4 linked regions of the Arabidopsis thaliana genome follow. The protein of the gene in region 3 interacts with the protein of the main gene of each other region in a pairwise test. Each region holds a gene or a part of one and is shown on either strand. Other genes may lie near its edges.

Region 1 (8,281 bases), on a different chromosome or scaffold from region 3:
TCGCTACGATTTTCAACAATTTATCTCACAAAACCAATAAAATGTCCACCCGTTATCAACGTGACACAAACACATCAAAGAAGGGAACAGTTCTACTGGCCACCTCATGAGTCATGACTCAACCATTATTGTGTCCTGGACTTCTTTCTAGAATGTAAATTGATGAACGAAAATTTCAGCTCTGCCCTTGGCTAAAGCGGCTGAAGTCCATGCTTTAGGCACACAAATTTATAGATAGTTGTAAAAGGTAACAAATTTCGAAAATGTTTCGTAATCTAGTGGTTATTTCATAGATTAATGTCTTATTAGTGAACGGTTAGAATTTTAGCTTTGTTTTTTGTGACTTTTAATTAGAAATAGATTTAAAAATGCTTAACAATTTTAAATAAACTTAAATATGTTTTAGGCATTAAAATCTGTTGGGTTAGTTCTGTCGAGGCGGATTGGACGTTGGTTTTTTTGTATATAAATTAGTGGGCTTCATGGATAGATCCATCGTAGATCACAAATTCATGTGGATAAACTCGTCGCAGATTGTGGGTTGCCCGTAAAAGAAAAATCAACTCTTTTAAAACATAATGTTTTTTCATAGAGGATTTCAATCCTTTTGTCTCTGTTAGAATTTTTTGTGCAGTTCAAAAACCCTAATCAAAGTATTTCACGATCACTTAACAAGAAATCTGAAGAATCATTCTCTATTTCTTCAAGTTTCTTTTTATGACCACATCAAAAAAAATTAAATCGTCGAAACTTTTGATTTTAAGTCAAAACAGAGCATTTGTAAACTACACACTTGTAATGGTAAGTTATTTGTGAATACACATCCATGATTAGATGTTTTATTTTTGTTTGATTGATTCGCAAGTAGTGACTAGTTTTGTATTTTGTTACTGATATGATTCGTTTGACTCCGAGTATTTTAGATCTAATAATCTGGAATATCAGAAAGTCATTAAGTTGAAAAATGCTAAATCTAAACGACAACAAGCTAACAATGAACCAAAAGGACCTAAAAAACTGGAAAGAAAACTAAGAGATGAAATAGGAGCACCTAAGCCACATAGAAAAAAGGTGAATGAACCAGAAACATTTAAAACCCAAAGAAAAAAGGGTGATGAAGCAGAAGCATATAAAACAGAAAGAAAAAAAAAGTTTGATGAAATTGAAGAAAAAAAGTCTGTCTTCATGTTCGTTGCACTCGTCGTGAACCCCGAACCTCAAATGATTTAAAGATTAAAAAAGTATTAGACTGCTTTCGATAATTCCTTCTTAGTTCTATGAAACACTATAATCTATTTAGACTACCTCAGCGTATCAATATTTTTTTCTTGTATAGAATATCCAATCACGACCAATCGAATTTCATCAATCTATAAGAATGCCATTCTCATGCAATTTTTCTCTTATAGCCAACATGCTCATGCAATTTTGATTATTTACTTAAATAAATAAATAAATAGAAGTTTATATAAGTGTCAATAATAAGCTTAACCTTGAGATTCTTTGAGAAACGTTGCATTTATAGAAGAATTTGTCAGTAATTCTAGTAAGATACGAGCAATCAATTGGTATTTTTGATTGTTACTTCTCTCATCTCACAAGTTTGAATGGTTACGGCAGTTAAGATGGATAAATCCGTCAATGGTTTAATCCGAACTATTTTTAAAGTAGACAACAAACCGTCGCAACCAACTCTATTTATATGTAAAAACGGTATGTGGTTGATCCGCATCAGTTTTCTTTTTTAAATCCACACAGAAGTAATTTGTGAAATGGTAAATAAAACGTGGTCAAATACACAAACGAATTTGTCCACCTTAACCACAACAATCATTTAGACCCTAAAATTGATAATAAATGGACAAGTGAACATAGAAAATATGGCAATTTATGTTATTTTAGACAATCGAAGCGATTATTTAGGCGTTACCTGAGAGTCTAGTGCCTAGATAGAGTGTAAACGACCGCCTAGACCATTTTTTATAATACTGAACTTTTGTAATCATTTATTTCGGAGGTGGTGCACACGACAATGCCTACATTACTCGTGAAAACTATATTATACCTCAGAATACCAAAGTCCATGTTCCCGATCCCAATATCATCAAAGAGTTGGCCCATATCAAATGCTATGTTAATTTTTCTTATCTTTTCAAATTATTCTAATGTTGTGTTGCCAACGACTGCTTTTACTTTATAATAGAATAGAAATAATAGAAGTTAGTTTCCGCGATTACTATTATATGCTTACATTTATACCGGACTAGTTATCTCCAGAAGAAAACCGTCCGTTTTCAATTTGAAAACAGTCTGTAAAAGAAAGACTTACATTTATCTAATGCGGATTTGTATTGTGTGTGTGTGTGCTTTTTTCTTACATGTATTTATTGGTAATGTACATTTAATTATATGTCAAGGTGGTTGCTGGTGTGTGTAAGGTTTCATAATCTGCTAGAATAGTTAAGAGGTCACCTTCATTTACCAAATGGATTTTGTCTTCTAATTGATTTAAATCCATTTTTTTCTTTTATTCTTTGAATACTTTTTCATAATTATTTCGTATCCTCCACACTAACTCATTTCTACTTTGCTACATTTACAAGTTTCATCTAATCTACTTAAATTAACAAAAAAAAAAAAAAATTGTTTCCTTATTTAAAAATTAGATTTCTCGTAAATTGGACTTTGATTTTAATTATTGTCTATTCAAAGTTTTATTTTTTTACCTTAAAAAGTGTTGACTTTGATATTTCATTACCTTAAGAAGAAGAATCACCGACAGCTCCAACTTAGGAAATCTCAACCGTTGATTAAATCAAACGAGATACTAAAATATCCAACGGCCATAAATCGTCCAATTGCCATGTTTCTTCCCACTCTCTTCTCCTTCATTTAAGAAATTTCACTCTCCGAAGAAGAAGACGAAATCGAGCAAATCCATGGCGAAAGTTCGGATTTTGATCTTCACCCTTGTCTTATTCTTCTCCCTCAATGTCCATATCCATGGATTTTACCTTCCCGGCGTCGCTCCACAAGATTTCCAAATGGTCAGCCACATAAAATCATCTCTGTATCTGTATTTCACAAATGCAGCTTCTTCTTAGAGCTTTGATTCACACTGGGTCTAGATTTTTTTCTGATTTAGATCCAACGCAATCGATCAAGTAATCTTGTTAAAATTGGATCTATGGCTCTGTTTTATGAGATTTGGGTAATTTTGATCTTCAGTTACCACTGAGTGTTGTGTTTAAAGAGAATGTTTCATTAGTCTATATGTATTAGCCATTGTTTAGACTTGTTTCTGTGTGAATCTAGCTTTTGGAGTAGAAGAATGTATAATGGTCATTATCTATAAAGGTTCAAACTTTGGAGTTATGGTTTTGTTTTTCAGGGAGATGCATTGATGGTGAAAGTTAATAAATTGACATCTACAAAGACTCAGCTTCCATATTCCTATTATTCTCTTCCTTATTGTCGTCCAGAACATATTGTTGATAGTGCTGAGAATCTCGGTGAAGTTCTTCGTGGTGATCGAATTGAGAACTCTCCTTTTGTGGTATGTTCTTGTTTCTTCTTGGTTCTTTCTCTATCTGTCTTGGTTAAGTGGTAGTTGTTGAGTTGTTTTTAATGTCTGTTTGTTTCTTTGTTGCAGTTTAAAATGAGGGAATCGCAGATGTGTGCTGCGGTTTGTCGTGTGAAGCTTGATAAGAAAACCGCAAAGGCGTTTAAGGAGAAGATTGCTGATGAATATCGAGTTAACATGTGAGGAGATTGATTTTGTCGCCTTCGACTGAATGTGTTTTGTTTTTCTTCTGTTTTTATGAGGAAGATTGATTTCTTATGCAGGATTTTGGACAACCTTCCCCTAGTTGTTCCGGTGCAAAGGCCAGATCAGGACAATGTTGTAGTGTATCAGCATGGTTTCCATGTTGGTCTCAAGGGAATCTTTGCTGGCGTAAGAGCTCATCATCACCTTTTCTGAATATGTTTCAATGGAAAGAGTTCTTATTTATTTGATTTTCTTGTAGAAAAAGGAGGAGAAGTATTTTATCCACAACCACTTGACCTTCACTGTTAGGTATCACAGAGATATACAGACCGATTCTTCAAGAATCGTTGGCTTTGAAGTCAAGCCGTTCAGGTAGCTTTTTGTGATTTAAGGACTTTGACTCTGTATTGTGTAAGCGACTAACATCTACTGATTTTATCTCGATGCAGTGTCAAACATGAATATGAAGGTCAATGGAATGAAAAGGCTCGGTTAACGACTTGTGATCCGCATACAAAGCGTGCAGTCACTAACTCTGAGTCTCCTCAGGAGGTTGAAGAAGGGAACGAGATTATCTTCACATATGATGTTGACTTCCAGGAAAGTGAGGTGAAATGGGCGTCTAGGTGGGACACTTACCTTCTAATGGCTGATGATCAGATTCATTGGTTCTCAATCGTTAATTCTATGATGATTGTTCTTTTCCTCTCTGGTATGGTCGCTATGATCATGCTAAGAACACTCTACCGAGATATTTCCAACTACAATCAGTTAGAGAGTCATGAAGAGGCCCTCGAAGAGACGGGTTGGAAATTGGTACACGGAGATGTTTTCAGACCGCCAACAAACCCGGAGTTGCTTTGTGTTTATGCAGGCACTGGAGTTCAATGCTTTGGAATGATTCTTGTCACCATGATCTTTGCTTGTCTTGGCTTTTTATCTCCTTCAAACCGTGGTGGTCTTATGACGGCTATGCTTTTGCTTTGGGTTTTCATGGGACTATTGGCAGGATACGCGTCTTCACGCCTCTACAAGACGTTAAGAGGAACCGAATGGAAAAGAAACGCTCTGAAAACCGCATTCATGTTTCCCGCTACCGTCTTTGTCGCCTTCTTTGTCCTTAATGCGATAATCTGGGGACAAAAATCATCCGGTGCAGTCCCATTTGGTACAATGTTTGCTTTGGTTGTCCTCTGGTTTGGTATCTCTGTTCCACTTGTTTTCATCGGTGGCTACATTGGTTTCAGAAAACCTGCACCGGAAGATCCAGTGAAAACCAACAAGATCCCGCGGCAGATCCCAACACAGGCCTGGTACATGAACCCAATCTTCTCCATTTTGATTGGAGGCATTCTCCCATTTGGCGCAGTCTTCATCGAGCTCTTCTTCATACTCACCTCAATATGGCTACATCAGTTCTACTACATATTCGGCTTCCTCTTCATCGTCTTCATCATTTTGATCATCACTTGCGCAGAGATCACGGTCGTCCTCTGTTATTTTCAGCTGTGTAGTGAAGACTATCAATGGTGGTGGAGATCTTACTTAACATCAGGCTCTTCCGCGGTTTACCTCTTTCTTTACGCAGTCTTTTACTTCTACACCAAACTTGAGATCACAAAGCTCGTCTCTGCAGTGCTCTACTTTGGGTACATGCTCATAGTTTCATACGTATTCTTCGTCTTTACTGGTGCAATTGGTTTCTACGCATGCTTTTGGTTCACCAGGCTTATCTACTCTTCGGTTAAAATCGATTGATCTTTAATCACCTTCTTAGTAAGCTGTATCTTAAATCTTGTTCTTTTTCGTTCTTTTGTTTCCTCCTTTTAAATTTTGTGATGATTTTGAGATATGTAGACATAAACTTTTATTTTATTGTAAACATACATAGAGCTCAAGAGTACAACAATTGTCTCATAATAACAGCAACTTGTCACACACTTTTATCAGCAATCTCAGTTTTTATTTCTTCCATTCTTAGTAGATTAGAAACTAAGTTTGTTACTACTGCAAGGTCATACAGTTTACATTTTTTTAATAACTGTTTCTAATCGACAATTTTTTTTTGGAATTCATGAAACTGCGTACCTCATGTTTTTAGGAACATAGTTTTCAGAATATTAAAAATGAAATAAAAAATAATGAACTCGATCGACAAGGTCAAGTCAAGATAGTATGTGGTAGATAAACAAAAACAAAAAGAAACGTATGTGGTGGATAATTTAGAATTGAATGAGTCAATCAGTAGTCTATATGGACCAGTGGCACAAATCACTGAGCAGAGATGCATGAAGAATTAGGAGGATAAGAAGTCCGACGAGTTCACACGATAGATTGTTCTCGAAGTCAAGAACTAAACTCCAGAAGTGTTTTTATTTTCCTTTTTTCTTATTAAAGGCATACTCAGAAGCCATAGTCATAACCTATTACTTACCACACACTGCACACACATACACACAGAAAGTAATTATGAGTCCACAACAATCTTATTGCTTTTCTGGTGTTACGTTGTATTCCTTCTTTTTGGTTTTCTTTGTTCTACACACATTTGCTTCTCCTACGCTTCACTATTGCCGCCATGACCAAAGGGATGCTCTTTAAGAGTTCAAACACGAGTTTCCGATCAATCAATCCAAGCTAGATCCTTATTTTGCATCATTAAGTTTATGGAACAAGAGCAGTGATTGTTGTTATTGGAAGGGTGTCAAGTGCGATGCTAAGTCTGGCAAGGTGATTTCACTTTACCTTAATTACGTCTTTCTCAACAACTCCTTGAAACCAAATAGTGGTCTTTTTAAACTCCAACATCTTCAAAAATTAACCATTTCAACTTGCTATCTCTATGGGGAGATTCCTTCTTTATTCGGAAACCTTTCCCATCTCACAAAACTTAACCTTCTCAATAATAGATTAGTAGGTCAAGTTCCATATTCATTTGGAAACTTAACCCATCTTAGGCACCTAGACCTTAGTGAAAACAACTTAAGTGGGAGAACCAGTTCAAGGGACATATAGAGTTTGGGAATACAACTTCATCGCCTAGGCTTATTGGTATACACCTTGGCGATAACAAATTTGATGGCTCAGTCCCTGAATCTATATCTAAATTTTCGAAGCGCAAAATGTTCAGTCTTACAAACAACAATTTCATCGGGACAATCCCAAAATCTATATCACAGTTACATAACCTCTATATCCTTGATCTTTCCTACAATAAGATGGAAGGAACAGTACCAGGTTGCTTATCAAGATTGACATGGTTATCGCTTTCTCACAACTCTTTTAGTAGTATTGGAAAGTCATTAGAAGTTCTAGATAGAGCTCCAATGCGTGTATTGAGTCTTGAGTCAAATTCATTCCAAGGACCGTTTCCCCATTGGATTTATAAGAAAAGTCAATAGAAATTTTGCTTCCCCACAGAGGCCGAATATCTCCAAACACTCTTTCTTCTTGGACATGTTACACATGATGTTGAAATGGACATAAAGCCCGCTGGCCTGAAAGGATACGGTCTTATTTTGTGGACCCGAACCCGTTTAAAGACACTATATAATAGGTTGACCCGTTTAGATTTGACTACTAATAATGGATCTGAAAAATACTAAAAAGGTAGCCCGTTTAGACCTAATTACTAAATTGTCTGAATAAGATGCTAAAAGTCTTTGCTTTCACTATTCTAGTGATTTCTTTCGGAAATTCCAGAAATTTGATTCGAAATGATTTGTGGATTTATTTGAATGAAATCCACAATTTTCTGAGTATTTCGAAGGAGTCAAGACAAAAATTTCCCCTCTTAATCATGTGAGGAAATGAAGCATATCTTGTTCTTTGTTTCTTGATTTACTTTCTGGTAGTAATGGATAACTAGAGAGATTCAGTGGAATGGCCAAAATCTCATAAGTAGAATTTCATTGGTTTTGCACTGAATATTAGATGGCTTTATGGCTCTGAAAAAGCAGCTCTTGCCGGCCAGTTTAGCATGTTTTTCAACAGACAAATATTTAATAATTATACCTTGATAATGTATAAACAATCTTTTTTTTTATGTTGTGTTTATTGTTTGCCTTGGGATCCAAGTGAACAAAGAAAGCAAGTCAAGGTTTATACTCCATTTCACTACAAATTTTAGTTATCTGCAATAATCAAACCCACTGTTTCTGTTATCAACATAGCAATCTTTCATGTCCTCATTTCCCATGTTTTTTTGTTTATTAATATATATATATATATATATATATATATATATATATATATATATGTATCCATACTCAAATTATTCCATCTATATCGTAGTGACACTGCAATTATAATGATAAGGTGTTCATTTTAGAGTAGTGCAAGACTATTGTAGGAGAATTTAATTTGTATGGGAATGTGACTATGTTTGTTACTCACGAGCAGATTTTAAGGAAGTTGTGAGATAAGAGATTAAAAATTAGGTAGAACTTCTAGGCATTGTCTGATAGTACCATTGGCAGTGCCGTCTCGATATAACCTATGGCAAAACCAAAC
Region 2 (7,903 bases), on a different chromosome or scaffold from region 3:
AAATCGGAGGATCTAAACCTAGTTTCACACCATCCACGGTGGCATTTTCATATCCGACTTCTCCGTCTTCCGTTCCCGGTGATAATGAGGTCGACAAAGCAAAACTCGCTCAGGTTCTCTATCCATTTCTTCGCCTTTTTCACAAGCTAGCTGAAATTGAATGTAGAAAGAGAGAAAATGATCTAACAAATCGAAATTAGTTACAATCTGCTTTTGATTTTAGGAAGTAGATAACAATTTAGGATTTGAGTTTTCAGAATTGAAATTTTGAAAAGTGCTTAGTGTGAAGAATCTTTATGCAGTAACTGTATTGGTGTGGAAGAGATTTTTTTTGTTTTATGAGTATGGGTGGTTTATTATTCACAGGTTGCAAAGAGATTGGAGAAGACTTCAAGGTACTTTAAGAGACTAGGGAGTATTGGTTTCTGGGGGCAGCTTGTGTCAACTGTGGTTGCAGCTGTGATTCTATCCTTCTCCATTGTTGTAACTGGGAAACCTACTTCACCTGCTACTTTCTATGCTACTGCTAGTGGGATTGCTGCTGCGTTTGTCTCGGTTTTCTGGTCGTTTGGGTATATTCGGCTCTCCGAGAGGCTCCGTCGAACTTCCATCGACCCTGCCAAGGTAAATATGTCGTTCTCTTCATTGTAGTTCAATCCTAATCAGTGAACACCCATACAATAGCGCTTGTAGGTACGTATGGTCAACTTTGTTTGTTAAAGACCGGTCTGTGAACCTAGATTTAGTAGCAGCTCTTGAACCTTGGATCATGTCCAGTCAGGTTGCCCAGGTCACCCAATAGCGGTTACTACTCCTACTTGAGTCCTGATACTCAGTTTTGTAGTTTGGTGTCTAAAGGAAAAAATCCAGTTTTAATAAAGGTTGTGTTGTTGCAGGCGCCGCCTCGCGCTGATGTTGTGAAAGGTTTGAGGAGCGGGATTATGGTAAATATTTTGGGAATGGGATCAGCACTACTCGGGATGCAAGCAACAGTTGGATTTTTAGTTGCAAAGGCTTTAACAACTTCAGCAAACCCTTTCTACCAAGGAGTCTCTCAGGGATACAGTCCCGTTCTTGCTCTTGATGTCTTCCTAGTTCAGGTATTAAGCTCTAATTGTGTTCTTATTATAAGTCTTACTTTATTTGTGTAAGTTCACTTTTTGACTTGAGAGCCATTTGTGCAGGCATCGGCGAACACCTTACTCTCTCATTTCCTTGGTCTTGTTTGCTCGTTGGAGCTGTTGCGGTCTGTGACAGTGCCCAATTCGGAATCTGTCGTAGTTCCTAAGGTTGCTTGAGTTTCTGCCTTTTTCAGCCTCACTTCATGTATTCATAAACGTTGAAAGCTGGGGCTGTTGTTTCCTTTTATAACCGAGAACCAACGATTGCGGATTCAATGGCTTTGTTAGCAACATTATTGAACTACATAACTCAAAATCACAATTCAACATAAGAAGATAAAAAACTGAAGAACATTTTTCATTCTTTCAATTCCAGTATCTCGTAAATCACATAAGAGACTAACTTGTTTTTTTATTGTCTCCATATAAATTTCAAGCACTAGTCTCGAGCTTAAAACCATTTGCTAGCCCGAAGCTGCCCCAATACGCTGATTAGAATCACATTTAGTTCCTGAAGTTACACAGACATGGACTTCTCTATCCACAGTGTCTATATAAAGAGAGAATCAAATGAAGGGTTGGTTCATGACAAAACCACACTCAAGTCTCAACTTCTCTAATTCATCTACAATCATAGCTAGTTACGTCGCCTGTTGCACTCTTTACTTAGTTTTACCTTCCCACTCAGTCCAATTCTGTCTTGTTTTCTTTCACTGCATCCAACGAAAAGAGTACTAACAGATTAGTATTGGTCTATGAAGAGGATATCACTTTGGTGTGATATGTTCAAAGAAGCAAATATGCAACTGGTATCAACACAGAACACGCAAAATTGATGTACCACTGATATCTATATAAATACTTAACAGTCAACATCTAAGCATATTTTGTTGATGTGTTGTAGTTCTATTTTATAAACAATATGGCTGATGAGATTCTAACCGGTGAACTCCTCATCTAATTGAATACACCATCAAAGAAACTTGATTAATGTGATGAGTCTCAAAACTCTCTACTAATGCTCAAACAAAACCCTGCGCAAGTCTATAATCCCCTCCTAATGTATTCTCCACACTCTTTTTTAAAATTTTCAGCTATCAGCTAATGTAAGCTCTGTTGTTGAGCTGGCGAAGCTATGCCTGAACCAACAACCCTAGGCTAGTTGAAATATTAGAGCACTAGGCTTAACAAGAACACCTTTATCAAAGGAACAATGAGCAATGTATCACAGGACTAACTGAATAAAATGGTTTAAGAAGGTTCAGTATGCTTGCCTATTGCATCTTCTTTATCTTATTTGTGGGCTTAGCAATAATCTTCTGTAGTAATCTTTCATCGATCTTCCTGTACTGTGTCTGAATGACTCGATGAGTTAAAGATAGCTTCTCGTCAATAAGATCCTGGTATCTCTCGTACAAAAAGGGAATCAACAGACTCAGAACAACACCTGTCCATTTATATCACACAGAGAAAGTCAATTAGCAAGTCTTGAGTACAAAATGTATACTCTTCCCCTTGTGGAGATACTTATAGGTTCTATCAATAATGAACAATGTAAAGAACAAAGGAAAAACAAAAAAACTACTCACCAAGATAGAGTATTGTGAGGAAGTTTAAGAAATTTCCAACAAATGATACTGTCCACAACACAACACTCACCTACCATAAGCAATCTCAATGTATCAATTTCAAGTAGAAATCTATTGGAAAAAAACAAAAGGGACAAGTTTGCTGACCCGAAAGAGTTGCTTTGCATTTCTTCCCACGTAAATCTCACGAGCAACAGCGAGCACGGTATTAATCCAGACTCGTATAGCATCAGCCACCATAAACACAAATTCCTCAGTGATTTCAAGATTAGGTAGTTGAGGCATAGGCCTAGTCAATAACAATCACAGTAAATTTCAGATTCAGCTTTAGCACAGAGGTAATGCAAACTTTTCTTCATACTTAACCATATCTTATCTACAAATTAGATACCTATAGAAAAGAATAGCAGATTTGGCCCAGAGGCATAGGTCTGGTCAAGAAATTTCAGATTCAGCTTTAGCAAACATACTTAAACCTGTAACCATTATCTTCTTATCTACAACAAACTTATGCAAACATTGTGACATTCTTCTTCACTAAAACTATGCAAACCAAAAATAATGTGACATTATACAATCAGGTTTAGATGATGATACCTATTGAAGAGAATAGCAGATTTGGCCCAGAGGAAGAGTATAACGACGGAGAGAAGCTGAGTATTAACAACAAAGGGGAAGAAACTGTATCCACATTTCTCAAAGAGGAACCATAACAATGTCGTTGATCCAAGTAGAAGAAACCCTCCGCGTCGATTCTTCCACATGATTAAATCTGCAACTGCATCAGTTCAGAAATCATATGAATCGGTAGATCTACACGTTAATGGAGTCGTAGAACAATGAAACAATGAGAGAAAGAGAGAAGAAACCTGAGCCGAATCGTATCGATTGATGAACAGATTCTTCCATTGCAGCGAATCAATATCTCTCACGAATCCCAAAATTGTTTTGAGTCTCTTCGTTTTACGCACATAGTCGTCTCTTCAATTTAAGCAGTTTGTGCGGTCTATGTCACCATTCATGGCCTTAACTAAATTTCTTTTTTGCTTTTAAACCATTCTTATCTTTGAGTAATTGATCTGATTCTATCTTTTGGCATTTCTTTTTTTTTTGGTTCACAATTTTTGTTGTTCCTTTAATCTCCATTTTCCATTGTGAACAATATATACATTACTTTGGAATATAGAGATGTTAAATCGGTGTATCAACAATTCAAAGATGGGGTATTTTTATATTAAACGGAATGCTTTTTGCTGGAACAAGTTGTGGTAGTAGCTTAGTCTGGAAAGCTACTACACACTCTGAGTCTGATGATCCATTCAAATACTTGACATCTCTCGAGGGACATCATAGTGGTGAAGTCACTTGTTTTGTACTTTTGTTGTTGGAGGTCAAGTGCTATACTCTGTCGATAAAACAATCAAGGTGTGGGATCTCAACACCCTGCAATGTATAATGACCTTGAAGCAACATACTGGCACTGTAACATCACTCTTATGTTGGGACAAATGTCTGATATCGTCTTCCTTGGATGGGACCACACGATTGGCACACTCACAATTGGTCCTCAAGGATTGCTATTCAGTGGACACAAAAGTGGGAACTTGCGTGTATGGAGCTTAGCTGCTGGCACCAAAGTTTAGTCGTTTTAACAATTTTCGACTAAAGAATTTTGGTTTACTTGTCAATATACATTGGTGGTTGATTTGATGAACCCTAATCCAATACAAAAGCCGATTAAAACCTGCTCCATTTCTTTTTCCCGTACATTGTTGAAAACAAAAGGAAAGAAAGAAACGAATCTCACAAAGATAGTTTTGGAATCATGTAACATGTCACAATAAAAGCTATGAACGGTTCTCTTGGAACTTGATATTAAACATTGGACGTAAAGGTTCTAGCACAGACTCTTCTTCTACTTCATCTTCACCTTCGTCAGATGATATTTCTCCTACTCTCGGTTGCTTTACTTCTTCCTCAGTAGTGTTTGGTTTTTGCTTCTTCTCCTGTTTCTTCTGCTTCTTCTTTTGGCGTTTCAAACGCTTCTTCGATGTTTTTTCCTCTGCAGCTTTCTGTTTCTCTTCTCTTCTTATAGTAAACTCTGCCATTTTTAACCGCTTGTTATAGTCAATATCCATCCTTGTTAGTCGGTCTTGTTCTCTCCGCCTCATTTGCCGGTACTGTAATAGAAAAACAATGCATCAGTATTGCACAAGTTTAGATGTCTAGTATAATAAGAAAATGATGTACACACGCTTTATCAATAATCAGGGCCACACTTCAGATAACACTCAGCCACAACCTATAGAATCAACACAACGACCATCAACCATTAATTACTAATACCCACATGAGCTTCTCGCAACTAATACTCTCAGTTCAAGCTCTACCGACTAAGTAATCAACGTCACAAAACACTTATAGACTAAGAAATTTAAGATTCCTATCACATGTACAACAAGGAACTTCTAGTAATTAATCGACTATAGCTTCGAATCCACACTTAGCCATGCCTAAGAACAAAAGACCAGGCATTCTTCACAAACAATCCAGCTGATTTTCAGTTACTGAAGAACAGAATTCATATACAGAAGTTGAAATCATTCACAGATCACAGCCATCAAAAGACTAATACAGGATAGTCTATGGAACATTCTATCAAACTCTTATATAGGCATAAAGGCATTGTGATCCATCACAAAACTAAGAAAACAATGTCAACACAAAGTCCACTAAGATAATTCAGATCCCAACAATGAACTTCTCGTAATTGATTACCACACCTAACTACGCCTAATAACAAAATACAAAGCCTTATCTGCAGTTTCAGATTCCAGATACAAAGCCTTATCGATTTAAGAGAAAGGCTTAGTTTAGTTACCTGATGGAAATCTCCAGAACCAGAACCAGCGGAACTTCCAGAAGTATTACTAACACGAACAGGAACGTTCTCAAGGATACGTCGGAGCTTTACTTCTAGATCTTCTTCATCTTCAAGCATCACCGGCGGTTTATACTCAACGATAGACGAAGATCCTCCGTGATCAGCCTTCTTCGCTTCCATCAATGCCGACGCCGTAGTGGCAGCAACCACCAATCGTGTGTCGCCTTGCTTTGGCTTCCCGGACGACATTGTCGAAACCCTAATTCCGGTCACACAATTTGGGGATTTTTTTTCCTCTACGATTTTTCGTCAAGACGATAATTTATTAATTTTGCTTTGAGGTCTGTAAAAATTATTGTCGTCTACATATAAAAATAGAAGGGCTTTTTGGGCTTGGGCTGGGTTTGTCTATTTTTTGGGTTGGGTGTATTGGACTTACCTCCTCCATGGTTTTTTTTTGGAGTTAAGTAAATCTAATAATAATAAGACAATCTCAATAAATAGTCTTTTACATTTTTTTAATGGTTGCGTTTTTTCTTTGTCATCTGAATTTTATTAGAAACCAAAGTAGGATACAAGTTCAAATGGTTACGTTTATATATCGTAAATTTTCGTTAACAAATTTACTGTAACTTTTTCGGGTTGCGTCTCTTAATTGTAACTTTTAGTCGAAACATTTACGGTTGTTCTTTTATCGCAAGCACTTTTGAATGGTTGTGTTTGTTTATCGCAACTTTTCGATAGAATATTTATGAGTTTTTTGGGTTTTTCTCGGTTGTATCTTTTTATCGTATTTTTTCAAAGAAATTTGACGGTTGTGTCTTTATATCGCAAACACTTCTGAACGGTTATGTTTTTATCGTAAATTTTTATTAAATATTTACGGGGTTTTCTGATTTTTTTCGTTCTGTCTTTTTATCGTGTATTTTCATTGAAATATAGTCAGGACTTTTTTACGGTTATATCTTTTTTAGTTGGGTATCTTTTTACGATTGTATCTGAATTGTTGTATCTTTTTATATAACGTAACTTTTTGTTACATATTTATGGTTATGTTTTTTGGTTGTATCTTTTTATCGCATATTTTGTTGAAATATTTACGGTTATTTTTCACAGTTGTTTTTTTTATCGTATCTCATCATTAAAATACTCTTTAACGTTAAAGTCGATGGTAACTTTTGTTCATAACTCTTCAACATACATTTTTTTATATTTTCATTATTAAAATATGAAACAAATTTTTATATCCGCTTAGTTGAACTACTGCAACATTTGGTTTACTAACAAATCATTGTAATTTTCTGTTTATTTTAGGAACTATTGTAACCCTTAATATTAATAAAAACCGTTGCAACATCTAGTATATTTGATATCTATAATCGTGTTTCTCGGTATAAAACTTCACAAAATATATTTTTAATTTGTGTAAATGAATTTTCGCAAACCATTTAATTGAACTAACATTTAATTTATTTGACTAATCTTTGCAAATTTTGATTTATTTTATGAATCGTTGTGACATTTAGTTTGTTTGACGAACGCACAACCTTTGGCATATTTAATATATGTGGTCGCTTGTCTCTATATAAATTTTTTTTTTTTTTTAACATCTTCTTTTCCATTGTTATTATGATCAAGAGTTTTCCAGCTGTAAGGCTGACGAAATTACAATCGGAATGTAATCATAAAATAAAATAAAAGTTGAATTTACTAAAATACATTTAAATATTTGCAATTGTTCAGTTGAACCATTGCAACATTTGATTTTTCTGACGAACCATTGCAATTTTTTTTTTTTTTTTTATGAACCATTGTATCATTTAATTTATTTGACGAACTGTTGCATCCATTGATATATTATCTTCAGTAGCGTCCTTAGATTATAACTCTTTTTCACCTGTTTGCCTCTTTTTATCGTAATATTTTTGTAACCTATTTTTCTTTTAGTTTTTTTCTGAACAAATGTTTTATATGGTTAAATATTTTCATTGTAACTCTTCATTAAATATTTAATACATAATAAAAAATCAAAATAAATATCTCATATGGTTGAGTCTTTTCATTGTTACGGATAGTAAAATATTTTTATTTATTTTAAATCTGAATAAATACATATTATGGTTGTTTCTTTTCATTGTAACCCTCCATTAATATTTTATTTTAATTTTTAATAATTGAAAAAATATTTTGTACAATTGTATTTTACAAAGTTGCATCTGGTCATTTAAAATTGTGTCTTTTCCCCTCCATTTTCGTCTTTTCTTCAAAATCGTTCGTAAAACATTTTTATTTTATTTTTAATTTGAATA
Region 3 (7,083 bases):
TTTTTATTTGTTACTAGATGATTCTTTGAATCTTTTGTGTGTGTATGTGTGCTGAAAATTCTTGCTGGCTTGTCTCTCTCGATATATATCTTAATCACATATCATTCAGCTACTTTATAGTAGTTGAGATTTTTATACATTAAAAACAATGTTGTTGATATACATTCACACGTATGACTGAAATACAAAAAACAAAATCTTGACAAAACAAAAGAAAAAGAAAGTGGATGGAATTATTTTGTTATCTTTTTATCTAATTTCTTGGTGTGTTTGCTACTTTTAATGTGATAATGTATGCGTCTTCACTTGCTTTAATCTCATCACTTTTGAATTTTGATGAGTGGCTTTACCTTTTTTCGCAATTTATATTTAAAAGTTATGTATTGTTTTTTTTAAAAAATAATTTCCTCGATTTGGATATTTGAAGCTTTGTATCATATGAATTCAAAATGTTGGTTTAAGAGTATTTTTCGTAAATGTGGGCTTTTTGTTTTTTGGTTGGAACTTGGCGATTAAGAAACCGCTTTCATTTGGCTCTAATATCGGTAAAAAGAAAGTTCATGCCATACTTCACAAAGTGGGATGATCATAAGCCAAACTTCTTAACCATTAAGTAACCTTTTCCCGCAACACCTTTATATTACTTTTTGTTTATGGATTAAGATTATGTTAAATATATACAACACCCACAATAATTGAAAAACTTTGATTATTTAAGATAAAACATCAACAAAATATTTTGAAGATGATTAGGACATCTAGCCTAGATATTTGTGTAACTAGTAACATCAGTATGTTACCATCCGGATTCAAACTTGCATATTTTTGAAAAGGAAAGTTGACATCTTCATCTTTTTCGTATTGATTGGTTTAAGGGTTTTGTTTTGTATTGCAAGATACTCGATGTTTTAAACAATCAACTTTTTTTAATCTTGATCCACTACATCACCACTCTTAATTCCCACTAGTCTCAAAGATTATGTAGAAAGTTTAAAGATTTTCCCAAATAACAATAAACAACTCTGATATTTGTTTGATAAATGTAAACAACCCGAGTACTACATGACCAAAGGGCAAATGCAAATTACTTATTCTCTTAAAGTCAAGCTCAAGCTGAAGTCTTGCACTTTCTTGGCCCATCCATATTGCTACAACTCTTTTTTGGATGATAGTCATGTAGACTCTTTCACATTTCTTGGCCCATTAGATTCTTTCATGACTATCATCCATATTACAAGTTGCTGCATCAAACATGTGAAATATGTTATCATTCATGTGAAAGATGTTACTAAATCTGGTTCTTTTATTATTTTACTGGAACCCTACCATGTGGAACAGAACATGCATTTTCATGACTATCAACCAAAACCAAAACCAAAACCAAAACCCCGAACTGAACATCATCCAAGAATATCTATAACTGAAACTGTGATTCAAAAGTTGAAAATTCAGTTATAAGCATGTTATAAAAAGTGGAAAATGAAAGACTCTTATAGAAGAAAGAAGATGAAGAAATACTTGCGATGATGGTGTTAGACCAGTTCAGTTCGGCTTAGATGTTGTTCTATCAAATTCTACACATTTTACAATTATGTTGCTAATGTTTGGTATTGGAAACACTTATTGACAATGTTAGCAACTTAGCATACCTATGTCCAGTTCAGTTATGTCTCTGTGATATTCAAACAAGATTCTGAGCTTACACATGTACACAATGTATTCTTCCATTGACATAATTAATGTTACAAGATACAATGCCATTGATACATAATAGATTACACATTTACACTGTTACAAGATCAAAGCTCTAGTGGTACATATAGAGATCATCACACATGACATAGGAAACAAGAAGAAAGCATATAGAATTAAAGATTGATATATTCTTAGCTTGATGATGATCAGAGAATATGTAGGAAACTTTATGTCTTGGACTTGAAAGGAATAGCTCTGATGACTATCTGATGGTACAGAGCAGCAAGCGCAGCACCAATGAATGGACCGACCCAGAAGATCCACTGCAGACACATAAAACAAAAGAGACAACAGATAAGAGCAGAATTATCAAAAATTCTGAGTTGCTATTTAGATGCAATTCATAACTTATCATACTTAGCACAACCGTTGATGTAATTAAAGAGGAAAACTTACATGGTCATCCCAAGCATGATCCTTGTTGTAGATGATGGCAGCTCCGAGACTCCTGGCCGGGTTAATGCCAGTTCCAGTAATTGGGATGGTAGCCAAGTGCACCAAGAAGACAGCAAACCCAATTGGAAGCGGAGCCAAGATCTGCAAAATGTTCGATAACCAAAAAACACATGAGCTCTATGTGAAGAATATGAACTCAACACAACTCAAGGATACTAGAGAATTAGCAACATACAGGGACATGAGAGTCTCTGGCACTTCTCTTAGCATCAGTAGCTGAGAAAACAGTGTAAACCAGAACAAAAGTTCCAACAATCTCTGCACCAAGACCTGAACCCTTTGTGTAACCATGAGCCACCACATTAGCTCCACCGCCATTCGTCTGGTACAGCCCTGGTTGAAACCCTTTAACCACACCAGCACCACATATAGCTCCAAGGCACTGCATTACTATGTAGAACAGAGCTCTGGTTAAAGATAGCTTCCTCGCCAAGAACAAACCAAAAGTCACCGCCGGATTAATATGTCCTCCTGCTCATTACCAAACCAATTCGCCACACACAAGTCAAAATCAGATTATGATCTTCACACAGAAGAAACAAAGTGGGGCAAACTAACCAAAGTTTCAAACTTTAAGAAGAAAATTACTCAAAGTTTCAATCTTTAAATGTGAAATTACTTTTAAGTATCAAACTTTCTTCATTATATCCAAGTTTCTCACAACCAAGTAACCCTAATTCCAGATTCCTTCAACCTAAATTCGAAAACTTTAAACAAAATTCAGAGCAAGAACAGATCCTGAACCTGAGATTCCAGCAGTACAGTAAACAAGAGCAAAGATCATGCCACCAAAAGCCCAAGCGATGCCTTGGATTCCAACAGAGGCACACATATTGGGAGCTCTCTTAACACCCATGACTGTCAAAACGGTGACGTAGAGGAAAAGGAAAGTGGCTATGAACTCAGCTATCCCTGCTCTGTAGAAAGACCAAGATTTGAGCTCGCCGGGTTCGAAAAACGGCGCCGGTGGTGGTTCCTTATAGTCCTTGCTCTCCGTCTGAGCCGCCGTACCGATCGGCTGTCTCTCTGGGAACTTGTTGGCTCCAACATTGACGTCTTCTTCTTTGCCTTCCATGTTTCTCTCTCACTCTATCACCACCAACTTTAGTTTGTTGTCTCTGTAAATTTGATGACTGGTGTATGTGGAGGTTTTATAGTTTGGTTCATTTAGGCAAAAATAATTATTAATTAAATTTGCTACTAATTTCCAAAATCTTATATTTGTTATTCATGCAAATTTCTAAATTATCAGAAAATGTGTAAATAAATAAATATAGTTAATTACTAATTATAGAAAATAAATTAGTGAATTTAGACTAAATTAACTTAATCTGTCTAAAATTTTTGTGATAGATAATTTTAATTGCAATGGTTGATATAGAGTCGCACTCAAGTCTCTTTTGATTGATGATTTGCATTTTTTTTATTGTCAATCATAACTCGTGGTTTATAAACCTACATTTTCCATGTAAGACTTTTAATTCGTTTAATGTTTAATAACGGTTTTCTATCTAGTTAGTCTTTGAGCATAATACTTAAATTAAAAAATGTTGTTTTAAGATAAGAATTAGAGGTAGGTAGTTGAAATGGACTGGACAACTAGGCGCGAAAACGATGCATAGAAGAAGATGGACATAAGATTAAGCAACTACCATATAATTTGTTAAAACAGAATATATTACAGCTCAAATGATGTGGACAATTCTAACATAATGTTTCTATCAATTATGTGAATGATATTATAGAGGAAATTATTGGATGTCAAAAATATTATAGATGAAAGAAGACACTTCACATGGAAAATGTTCGCCTTATCGATCTCTACTGTTTATAGATCAATTCATGGTTTATTTAAGTTCCTTTGTGTCACTACTGTGTTTTTTTTTTATATTGGGCTTTGATCTAAAAACTTTTTTTGGGGTCAATTGATCCATAAACAAGCTTTTCCTTTTTCTTATGGAATATACTTTATACAAAAAAAAGTACATTAAAAAAAAGAGAAATCTTACTTTAGCATCTACATATGGGCAATAGAGATAGAGGGAGATACATTTGTCATTTACTGTGTATAGGTTCTTTGGTGGTTATAAATGATCTCAGATTTATGTGACACAATAAATATAGTTGTTCTGCTTCATTTTTTCTTTTGAAAAATATAGATTAAGATCCTTGATTCATCATGAGGTATTCCAATAAACTAATTATCTTGCTAACTTTATCAACAATAGCTCTCATTTTAGTTGGAGAGAGTCACAAAACAATACCTTCGAAAGAGGAGAAAGAAGAGATGAAGAAGCTACTTACCTATCTCAATAAACCTGCAGTCAAAAGTTTCCAAGTAAATTTAGCCTTTCTTTTCTTAAATTTTCATAAAACATTACAAAAATTGTTGACTATTGTAACAATATTACAACTATCATCAAGTTACATTTATTTTCAGACCACACCAATTTTTTCTTGCTTTTGATTTCGACAGACTGAACATGGTTATATATTTGACTGCATCGACATTCAAAAACAGCTAGCTTTTGATCATCCTTTGCTCAAGAACCATTCTATTAAGGTTTATCCTACAAACCACGAAAAAATATCTATAAATAAAATTCTTATTAATGTTTGGATGGATTGAAATATAAATGCAGTTGAAACCCACAACTATACCTAAATGGACCAAAGATAACAACGCTTCTCATAAAACTAGTTCTCTGCCATTTCGACAAGATGACATAAGTTGTCCAGTTGGGACAGTCATTGTCAAAAGAATTATACTTGAAGATCTTATACGAGCTCAACGTTTGCAATCCTTACGATTCAACTATCCAGGACAAGTGTCTGCAAAGGACAAGAAAATTGATTTAACTGGTCATCATGTAAGAATCATTTCTTATTACACGTAGTTGAATTGAGATCGCCTTGTAACTTGTCCACAATGCTTATAATATTTTTTGATTATCTATTCTTTTTCTCTTCGGATTTTAGTTTGCCACAATTAGTTACAAAGATGACCACTATGGAGCAAAAGGAAACATTAACGTATGGAATCCAAACGTCTCACCTGATCAATTTAGTCTTGCGGCTATGGCTGTATCAGGCAACAAAGGATTTCAAAGCATTTCTGCTGGATGGATTGTAAGTCAAGCTAGACCCTATTTTTACTTATTTTCTAAATCAAAAATTTGGAACTAACATTCCAAAATATGTTTTTAGGTGTATCCAGGGCTAAATCAGAATAATCAAAGTCACTTGTTCACTTACTGGACTGTAAGTTTTTCAAAACTTCTTAAAGTCTTGACTCTTAAATGTGGCATTCATATTATGGCTACTATCTTTGATTTAAATAGGCGGATGGAAATAATAAGACTCATTGCTACAATACACTACGTCCTGGGTTTGTACACGTGAGCACCAAGTATGCAATTGGAATGCTCGCCCAACCAGTTTCCATTTATGATGGTCAACAATATCAACTAGAAGTCAGCATATATCAGGTATATATATAAATATACAACATTAGCTTTCTTCAAACTAATATCGAAAAGTCAAGATTATGTTAACAACTTTTGATTTAAGCAGGATCATGTTACAAGAGATTGGTGGTTTGTGCTAAATAACGAGCCAATTGGATACTGGCCAAAATCATTGTTCACACGTCAAGGTTTAGCTGATGGAGCGAGTGCCGTGTTTTGGGGAGGAGAAGTGTACAGTTCAGTGAAAGAGAAGAGCCCAAGCATGGGAAGTGGACATTTCCCACAAGAGGGTTTCAAGAAAGCAGCCTATGTGAATGGTTTAAAAATAATCACTGATATAACAAAAGAAGTTTCGAGTCCGTTAGCTTCAGCTTTAAAGACATTCGCAAGCAGTCCAAACTGTTATAATGTCCAAAAAATATTAGGTGTTGGTGAATTTTGGTCAAGAGCTATTTTATTTGGAGGACCTGGAGGATGCATATTTTAGTTTACTTGTCTTAAGAACTTTATACACTTAGTGTATATGTCCTCTGCTTAGTTTTAGTTAAACAATAAAATGGATTTTTAATCTTATAATTATCTTGATTTTTAGATAATTATTTTTTTTTCACTTTTTCTTTTGTGAGGATCAAGTATATATGATCAGATACAAACATAAACTTTTTTTTTTTAGTAAACAGATTATAATTTTTTTTTTTTAATAGATTTCTTCCTAATTGTTAATTTGATTTTAAGTTGGGCTTTTTTTTTGGTTAAAAAGGCGGCTGCATTTGTCAGGGTTAGGGTTTTGATTAATCTCCTCTAGAACTATATTTAGAGCTATATATAAGCAGATAAGGGATTGCACGATTTCTCAATAGTTCCGTCGCTGCGTTTCCATCACGTCGATTGCTGTCAGAGCCACGCCTATGAAGAATTTGTGCGGCTCTGATACCAATTGATGCTATGGAAACATCGATATTGCCTGATTCCGTGTTTCCTTTTACCTTGTTGTTAACGCTTCTATGTCTTAAGAAGACGACACAAGTTAACTAATTCATGAGATTTCTAAAGAGGACGGTATGTTTCTCCCTTAGTTTCTTGGAGCAGAGTTTCATGATTGGATCGATCTTACATATATCTAAGACTTAGGCTATATAATTTTCTTTTTTTTCACAAAATAGCACTTTTGTGTCGTCTTGAAGATCTAGAAGTTTTCTTTTTGTGTTTATTAGTTTTAGATTTCTTTTTCAATTTTAGGTCATTGAATTGCTACGTTCTTTGTCAAATTATATCTCGTTTAGACTGAGTTTACATATTTTTCTATAAAATGTAAACTTATTTGTAAACCACATTTGAAATTCTTGTTCTTCATAGTTTATATGAGTCTGAGTTCCTTTCGATTAATTTTTGTTTCATCAAATCC
Region 4 (7,798 bases), on a different chromosome or scaffold from region 3:
TGAATTCATCATGAGATGAGACTAAATGAACAAATACCTGAGCATGGGAAGATTTATTATCCTCTGCGCCAGACATTGGAATCCTCTAAATACGAGATTGCTCAACAAAATGTCTGCGAGAAAATCAAAACCAAATCGTAAAGAGAGATTTCCATCACCATCAGGAGCCCTAGAAAAAGCGAATTTCTCCAGAAATCAAAAAAGTCGATCATCACTATCTAACAGATTCGTTTTGGAGTTTCTGTGATAGGAAACTCTACTACTCATTCCTCACAACTTTACTGTTTCAGGTTCCAAATCAAATCATCCAATAAAACAAACCCAGTCTACAAGCATAGATACAGAAACGAAATCGCCGTAGAATCAGAAAGCTTACACTGTAGAGCCGAGTCGCGACGGTGAACGGAGGAGGGAGAGAGAGTTTTTTCTCTCTCGATCTGTTGAATTTTACATCGGCGAAGAAACCACCAATCATGACTTGCCACGGCACCCAGGCCAAGCTAAAATATTAAACGGCAAGCGTTTCTTTACTTAATCATATAAACGACACGGTTTTCCTTCTCACCGTCACCTCGAATAGAAAGAAAACGACACTCCACGTCATCTAATTTCTGTTATGATTTTTTTATTAAAAGCCCATCTCATGGCCCATTCAAATCTCTTTTTTTTTTTTGCAGCACCCATGCAAAATCTCAGTAGAGCACACCTCGATTATAGCTTCTTCTTCTAGTTTGGCACAATTGCTTTTTTGTTTCTTCTGAAAATGTCTCTTTCAGAACCATTCAATTAATACAAGCATACCACGTTTTCTTCTATTTCGAGAATGCGTGAAGAAGTTAGCAATTTTAAATGGGCCAAATCAAAGAGTAATTAATTTTTGTATTCATATAAATAAGGGCAGAAGAAGAAGCAACTAACATGAGACACAAGGTCGCTTCTCTCTTGAGGAAATTTCCGGGAAAGTCACGGAGTCGGTTATGGGAGCCACACGAAAAGGATTTTCTTCAAATTACGAAAACGACGTCGCACGTAAGATCCAAAAAGACCCAATCCAACGCCCCATATGTAGAGAGCAATCACTAACGAACGTCCCAGTCTCACTTTCTACACCAACCTTTATACAAAAATCCATCTACTAAATTATCCCAAAGAAATATATTTAAACTCTTCTTTTCTTCTGTGGTGACATATTGTTTTCATTTGATACATATTCTCCCAAGTCAAATTTATATTTCAGAGAGGAAAAAGAAACAGACACAAATCCCTCCAAGATGATGCATGACAGTATGAAGTAGGTATGAGCAAAGGAGTTGAGATTTGAGAATATTTGAGATTACCTCTCTAATGGTAACTTCTACGGTGGAGGCCTCGAGTCCTGAAGATGGCGAACGACTTACTTTCACTAGAGACAGACACTACGCCATGCATGGTGAGATCTTGACGGTAGTTCTTGTCATCAGCTTCGCCGTCTTCCTCTTGTTCCTCGTGTTGCTTCCTTGTCTGAAACGCCGTTACAGTCACCAGTCCGACCTGTCAGAAGAGGCTTCCTGGAGCGGGACACTCAAGCCCTCACCTGTTGTAAGCAAACAATCCATTTCCACATAGCCATAGGCCAAATAACAAACAAACATGTATTGAATATCTGTTACAAAAGAGTATCTGTTACAAATTGTAGAAGCGTCACTGTTCGTCATCATATGTCTCACTAATGGATAGAACATTACAACATTGTACCCAACTGCAATTGCAGCTGAAAAATAAGATTTGTGGACAACAACAATATGAGATGTTTCACTAATACGTACATACAGAAGAAGATGGGAACAATGAATGCAGTTTTACCTCCATATCAGCAATCAAGCTCGACCCTTTATTTGATGATACATAACAACGAGAGGGTATTATTAGAAGAGTAAGAATCCGGCCAAGGCAGAGGTTAAGGAAATGGTGAGATTGTCGTCAATGTCGGTGCTTATTGGGAGTGATTCCACAAGAGCTGATGCTATAGAGATGACGAGGAAACGAAGAATCATTCCCCCGCTATCCTCGATGTAACCAAATGAAGCAAAGTAGTACATATACGCAACAGATGCTAGAAACCCGGCGGTGGCCATTCCAATGCTACCAGCAAATGATTTGTTTTTGTTGTAAGGAAGCTTCTCTGTTCCAAACCGCCGACCCACAATGTCAGCCATACCTTTTAACAGCAAGTGTGTGTATTAGAATCATCATTCAATGGATTCAAATTCCTAAGACAAAAGTTGCTAATGTTATTGGATCAAACCAGAGCTAACTGTACTTACCATCTCCTGCGCAAAGGTTGCATATCACCGCAATCGCGATTGGGGATGATTTCCAATAGTAGATGCAGGCTGATGTGATTGACAGTACATAGTAAAGCGGCCCCTTAAGTAGTTCCCTGATGCAGAGAGCGACTACAGACACTTTGTGAAGTGACAAAAGCAATAATAAACAGACAAACCGAATTTTGATCATAGATACCAAGAATGCTAAGAGATTGTTGGATATTGTGACAGACACTTGTTCGATTCAGCTACCTGCGATCTCCATGTCTGCTCATTGACTTGATTGTTCCTTCGTCGTGGTACACTCCAAGCCCCAGCAATAGCATCCTTACTATATTGAGTCCAGGTACAAGAGATGCGAAAAGTGCTCCTTGGATTCCAGAACTGAAACAATTGATATCGAAATAAACTGGTGAAGCAGAAAAGCAAGCTGGTACATCAAAATCGATCCTTTCACTCCGTATTATTACCTGAACAGCGGCCAGCAAAGCATAAAAACTAGCCCAATATTTATATGCACAAGCTTCCGGATGAGTTTCTGAAAAATAAGAAATAACACCAATGTCAACCACAGATGTTAAACCAATGCCTCATTCAATAAAACCATGAAAGTGGAGTCAGTCCTACATCAGACAGCCTGTGGATCTTATAAATTCAATGGGTTCTGAGATGATATCTTAATCACGATAAGGTCAGAGAAACAAAATCAAGTAGCTGAAGCCATACAGGTATTCCCAAACCAAAAATGTTTAATAGAATTTTTGCTAATCATAGATAATTCCTCTACTCCTAACCAAATTACTTGAAGAAAAACAAGTCACTGCGGAGAAACACATAAGAGAAAGGAAAAAAAAACAAGCCATGTCCAATATGTGTATAGACTGACTCATACGAAGAAATAATCCTTCAAAGTATAGCAAAGAAATTGTGCAACATTTAAACCTACAAAATTCATATATATCATAAATATGGTTGAATCTTCAAGTTACGATGAGATTGTGATTATACCGCACGAATTTCAAAAAAATTTCATCCCCAAATTGGGTTCTGAGCAATTTTCCCACTAATTTACCAGATATGGGGTTACTTTCCCATTGTTTATCGCAGTGTTCTTCCACCCCAAAATAGGTATCCATTCACATTCTATAATTTCTTGAACTAATAAGATTTATTATCCTCGCCATTAATGCCATCCATTACTCGATAAAGCTTACTACTACCATTACTCTGAATCCAAAGTTGCTTTAACCAGAAATTGCAGAATCGAGCAACATTCCAAAAACGTTATTCAACAAATCGACGCGTGTATAATTTAATTAAGTGAATTGAATGATCGAAAACCTGGTCGAAGATGCCACGTTTGCCAATCTCTCCCCAGAAACCGAGGCACGAGAACGCAACGATGCTAGTGACTCCAAACGCGCAGACATCTGATAAAACCGAATTTTCCGGAAACATCACGGCGGCGAGTGAAGACTTGCGGATTTTGGTGGCCGGAAACCTAGAGCTCGATCTAAAGCTAGTCGCGATTCGGACAGTGAGGAATCGTGGAATCGGAGAGAAGAAGGCGAGAGAAGGAGGAGAGTCAACGAGAGGAGATGAAATGAAAGAGCAGCAGAGAACGGAGAGCTTTGTAGTAGTACTAGTAGTTGCCATTTTCTGCAACACTAGAAAACACGACCTTTTCTTCGATTACGTTTTCATTTATTTTTTTTGACAGTAACTGGTTGGTAGTTGTTGTTGCTCAAGCACACAAAATTTGGTTTGTTTTATTGTTTACCAAAAAGATGGTGAAAAGTGGATATTTATTTCCCCAAAAGGAGTGTTTTACTTTATCTGGTCACATATGGATTAAAGCAATTTTAGTTTCGTTCTATTTGGATTCGGCTAGAATGGTTCATGACATGGTGGTGTTCGTTTGAGGAAACGCATAATTTGTTATTGTGGGCCTAGTTTGGGCTTTATATTCGCTAAATAATTTGGGCTGGTATAAGTCAACTAGACGGACCACAATTTGATTTCATCAAATAATTTTTCATGATTAATAAATCCCTAATTTAGTTACGAAACACAATTCAATTATTGTGCTACTCAGATTCGAGAAACATAAAAAAAAAAAAAAAAAAAGTGATTCAGATTCCCTCACATGGGTTGCCGAGACACATGACCACACGTCTCTTGCCTTGTTTAATCTTTTATCAATTTTGCATCAACTTGTATATACCATAAGAAAATTATTTTAATTGATTTCAATGTGAGATTTTCTTTAGTATTTTTTGCATCAAATAATGCCAACCTAATCCTCAATTATCCATCTTTATTTTTTTTCTGAAACAATCTTATATTATTTATCTGTTGGCAAAAGAAAAAAAATCCTCAATTATTTCGCAAATGGTATATATGTTTATCTTTAAAGAGTACACTTGCATGTGTTTTCCAGGTGTGCGGGCAAAAGAACATCAGAATTGGTTCTGGATATAGTTCTCTCCACTTTTTATTTGTTATTGTTTTAATACAGTACGTTTTATGAGAGTTTTTTATATATATAATAAATTATGCGTTTCCTGATAGTTGTTGGTCCAATATCGAGAACAAAAAAAACTAACTACAAGCTAAAAACCTAAAACTATGAAGATCTCAGAAAATATAAATATACACGCTCACGTTAGCGAGTAAAAAAGTAGACACCAGATTAACAAATGATTAGTGTGATCACAGTAAAGAAATGTTTTGCAAAATTTTAAGCAATTTTTTGAAATCATGTTGTATGTAATAAATTGAGTAAATTCATGCTGTACATAAATTAAAGACCATTTCTTTGTTAGTCATTGAAATCATAACCAATCAACCAATAAAACTGAATTTTTTTCGTTCATTAGAGAGATAAGTTAATATCTTCAAAGTTTAATGTTAAGCTCAATTGTTTAGATAGGAGATAACCGATAAGAAACCACATAACTAGTTAACCTACCTATCTTGGCATCACATGAATCAATGACGTTGGATAGTCAGAGAGGCTTATTTTAATTATACCCGAAACGAACCAACCATCTATAATTCTCTAAACTATATTTAATCATCATATAACTCTGTAATAAACCCAAATTTTCACAAATTAAAAGCCATACCAATATCTTCAAATATGGAAAAAAATAACAATTTAACAAAGAAACAAAATATTTCCTCACCAAAAAAACAGAAACAAAATATTGTTTTAAAAAAGGAAAGTGGTCTTTACACAAAAAGGAAAGAGAAAGGAAAGTGGTCTGGTTCGTATCGCACCCAATAAGAACCACCAACTGTTGAAGTTCGTAAACTGTTCCACAAAAAAATGCATAAAAGAAAGAAAAACAGATATGAGATTCGACCATTTTTTTTCCATATAAATGTTTTTTGGGTTTGCAAAAATCGACGCCATTACTCTTTTTTCTCCCCAAATTATTGACCTTTTTATAAAAATAATTTATATTCTCAATCACACTTCATCGTCTTCTTCTTCCTCTCTCTCTCTCTCTCCTTTTTGTCTCTGCACTGTGTGTTGTCACCGGAGACAGAGCTTGTGTTTTCAACTCTCTCTCTCTCTCTCTCTCTCTCTCTCTCTCTCTCTCTCTCTCTCTCTTGCTCTCTCCGTCTCCCTCACTCTCTCTTTACTTCAAAATCAAACCCTTTTCTCAGATTTCTGTGATATAGCAAAATGCGCAATCTCAAACTCTTTGAGAGATTTAAAAGCACTCAAGTCCACGCCTTTACTACACAAGACTCTCCCTCTACAAGCAGCAATGGTAGCCCTCGAATGATGAAGTTCCTTGGGCATCCCAAATCCAAATCTCGTTCACTTCTCCCTCATGGCTTTCCCACCACAGACCTCCTCGAGCCTCCCTTGGACTCTTACCTCAAACCTATCGATTTGGTGGAGTCATTATCAAATCTATATCGGAGAATCGAGTCCAGTTCGGAATCCGAGGCATCGATGCTCTACCTTGAGCAGTACGCTGTTCTCCGCAGTCTCGGTGATGCCAAGCTCTTGCGTAGGTGCCTTCTCAACGCTAGGAGGCACGCCATTGATGTCCCTTGTAAGGTTGTTTTCTCTGCTTGGTTGAGATTTTTTAGGAGAGAACATGAACTTGTGGGAGTTGAATCTATGGATTGTAATGGGCTTGCTTCTGAATGTCCGAAGACTAGTTTGACTCATGGTTGTGATTTGAATGTAGACGACGAGGGTTGTGAATGTTCTACGGTATGTGAGGATGAATTTGGTAGTGATGACGTTAAAATCTCTAAGGCTGATGAGTTTTCGGGTCTAGATGAGGTTAGCGATATTTCCTTCTGCGTAGGTTCAGAGAAGGCTAAGTGTGTTAGGTCGAGAATCGCAGCGCTTTCGCGTCCTTTTGAGGCCATGTTGTATGGTTCTTTCGTGGAATCAACAACTTCTGAGATTGATTTCTCGGAAAATGGCATCTCTATTGAGGCAATGTTGGCACTCAACATATATAGTAGAATCAAAAGAGTTGATCTGTTTCGTGTGGAAACTGTATTTGAGCTGCTTCAATTAGCCAGCAAATTCTGTTGCGATGATCTGAAGTCTGAATGTGAGGCTCGCTTGGCTGCTTCTGTCACTGACCTTGATAAAGCTTTAACCTTTGTAGAGTACGCGTTGGAGGAACGCACAACGCTTCTCTTATCTGCTTGCTTGCAGGTGTTTCTGAGAGAGCTTCCTCAGTCTCTTCACAATCCCAAAGTGATGAGATTCTTCTGCAGTTCCGAAGCAAAAGAGCAATTAGCTTTTCTGGGTTCAGAGTGTGTGTTCCTGTTGTACTACTTCCTCAGCCAAGTAGGCATGGAAGAGAAACTCACGACGGACACTATGCTGATATTGCTAGAGAGAACTCGAGAGTTTGCTCGTACAAACTGGCAAAAGGCTTTGTCTTTGCATCAAATGGGATGTGTTCTGTTTGAGAGAAAGGATTACAAAGCAGCCCAGTTTCATTTCAGATTAGCTTCAAGCTTAGGGCATGTCTACTCTTTGGCTGGGGTATCAAGAACTGAATATAAACAAGGGAAGAGGTATTCGGCGTACAGGCTCATGAACTTTCTCATCTCTAATCACAAGCCACATGGATGGATGTACCAGGAGAGGTCTCTGTACAATGTTGGAGTTGAGAAACTAAAAGATTTAGCAACCGCCACTGAACTTGACCCGACACTGTCTTTTCCGTACAAGTACAGAGCCGTAATGAAATTCGAACAGAAGCAGATTAAAGAAGCCTTCCAAGAGATTGATAGATTAATTCAGTTCAAGCTTAGTCCAGAATGTCTCGAGCTGAGGGCTTGGCTGTATTTAGCCACTGGTGACCGGGAGAGTTGTTTGAGAGATCTTAGAGCAGTGCTGTCTTTAGAGCCCAATTATGTTGTGTTTGGTGGGAAAATGAGAGATGATTTGGTGGAGGCTCTGACCGCGCAATGTATTGAAGTAGAGAGTGAAGCGGATTGTT

The links.
Region 1: the proteins of PIP1;5 (region 3) and AT2G24170 interact in a protein complementation assay, tested with the Arabidopsis thaliana proteins (one large-scale study listed by BioGRID).
Region 2: the proteins of PIP1;5 (region 3) and AT2G15280 interact in a protein complementation assay, tested with the Arabidopsis thaliana proteins (one large-scale study listed by BioGRID).
Region 4: the proteins of PIP1;5 (region 3) and FOLK interact in a protein complementation assay, tested with the Arabidopsis thaliana proteins (one large-scale study listed by BioGRID).

The regions. Positions count from the first base shown.
Region 1 is NC_003071.7:10,271,553-10,279,833, reverse strand, and holds AT2G24170 (Endomembrane protein 70 protein family), read left to right. Parts: upstream 1-2,567; 5' UTR 2,568-2,645; intron 2,646-2,712; 5' UTR 2,713-2,939; coding exon 2,940-3,047; intron 3,048-3,391; coding exon 3,392-3,556; intron 3,557-3,652; coding exon 3,653-3,762; intron 3,763-3,846; coding exon 3,847-3,955; intron 3,956-4,028; coding exon 4,029-4,141; intron 4,142-4,218; coding exon 4,219-5,527; 3' UTR 5,528-5,735; downstream 5,736-8,281.
Region 2 is NC_003071.7:6,635,907-6,643,809, reverse strand, and holds AT2G15280 (Reticulon family protein), read right to left. Parts: upstream 3,838-7,903; 5' UTR 3,620-3,837; coding exon 3,580-3,619; intron 3,489-3,579; coding exon 3,308-3,488; intron 3,000-3,307; coding exon 2,858-2,999; intron 2,781-2,857; coding exon 2,711-2,780; intron 2,569-2,710; coding exon 2,396-2,568; intron 1,835-2,395; 3' UTR 1,457-1,834; downstream 1-1,456. Other genes in the region: TIC21 (translocon at inner membrane of chloroplasts 21), read left to right, coding at 1-113, 367-624, 897-1,100, 1,185-1,298; AT2G15270 (PRKR-interacting protein), read right to left, coding at 4,558-4,890, 5,592-5,843.
Region 3 is NC_003075.7:12,216,995-12,224,077, reverse strand, and holds PIP1;5 (plasma membrane intrinsic protein 1;5), read right to left. Parts: upstream 3,438-7,083; 5' UTR 3,287-3,437; coding exon 2,956-3,286; intron 2,683-2,955; coding exon 2,387-2,682; intron 2,293-2,386; coding exon 2,152-2,292; intron 2,019-2,151; coding exon 1,923-2,018; 3' UTR 1,610-1,922; downstream 1-1,609. Other genes in the region: AT4G23390 (NEP-interacting protein, putative (DUF239)), read left to right, coding at 4,391-4,549, 4,688-4,774, 4,854-5,081, 5,191-5,340, 5,419-5,472, 5,553-5,699, 5,785-6,165. UniProt on the Arabidopsis thaliana protein: Aquaporins facilitate the transport of water and small neutral solutes across cell membranes.
Region 4 is NC_003076.8:23,666,677-23,674,474, reverse strand, and holds FOLK (Phosphatidate cytidylyltransferase family protein), read right to left. Parts: upstream 4,209-7,798; 5' UTR 3,963-4,208; coding exon 3,648-3,962; intron 2,845-3,647; coding exon 2,777-2,844; intron 2,691-2,776; coding exon 2,559-2,690; intron 2,420-2,558; coding exon 2,304-2,419; intron 2,198-2,303; coding exon 1,905-2,197; 3' UTR 1,606-1,904; downstream 1-1,605. Other genes in the region: AT5G58575 (SAGA-associated factor-like protein), read right to left, coding at 38-76; AT5G58570 (uncharacterized protein), read left to right, coding at 1,345-1,605; EOL2 (ETO1-like 2), read left to right, coding at 6,001-7,798. UniProt on the Arabidopsis thaliana protein: Kinase involved in negative regulation of abscisic acid (ABA) signaling. Substrate preference is farnesol > geraniol > geranylgeraniol, but has no activity with farnesyl phosphate. Can use CTP > ATP > GTP = UTP as phosphoryl donor.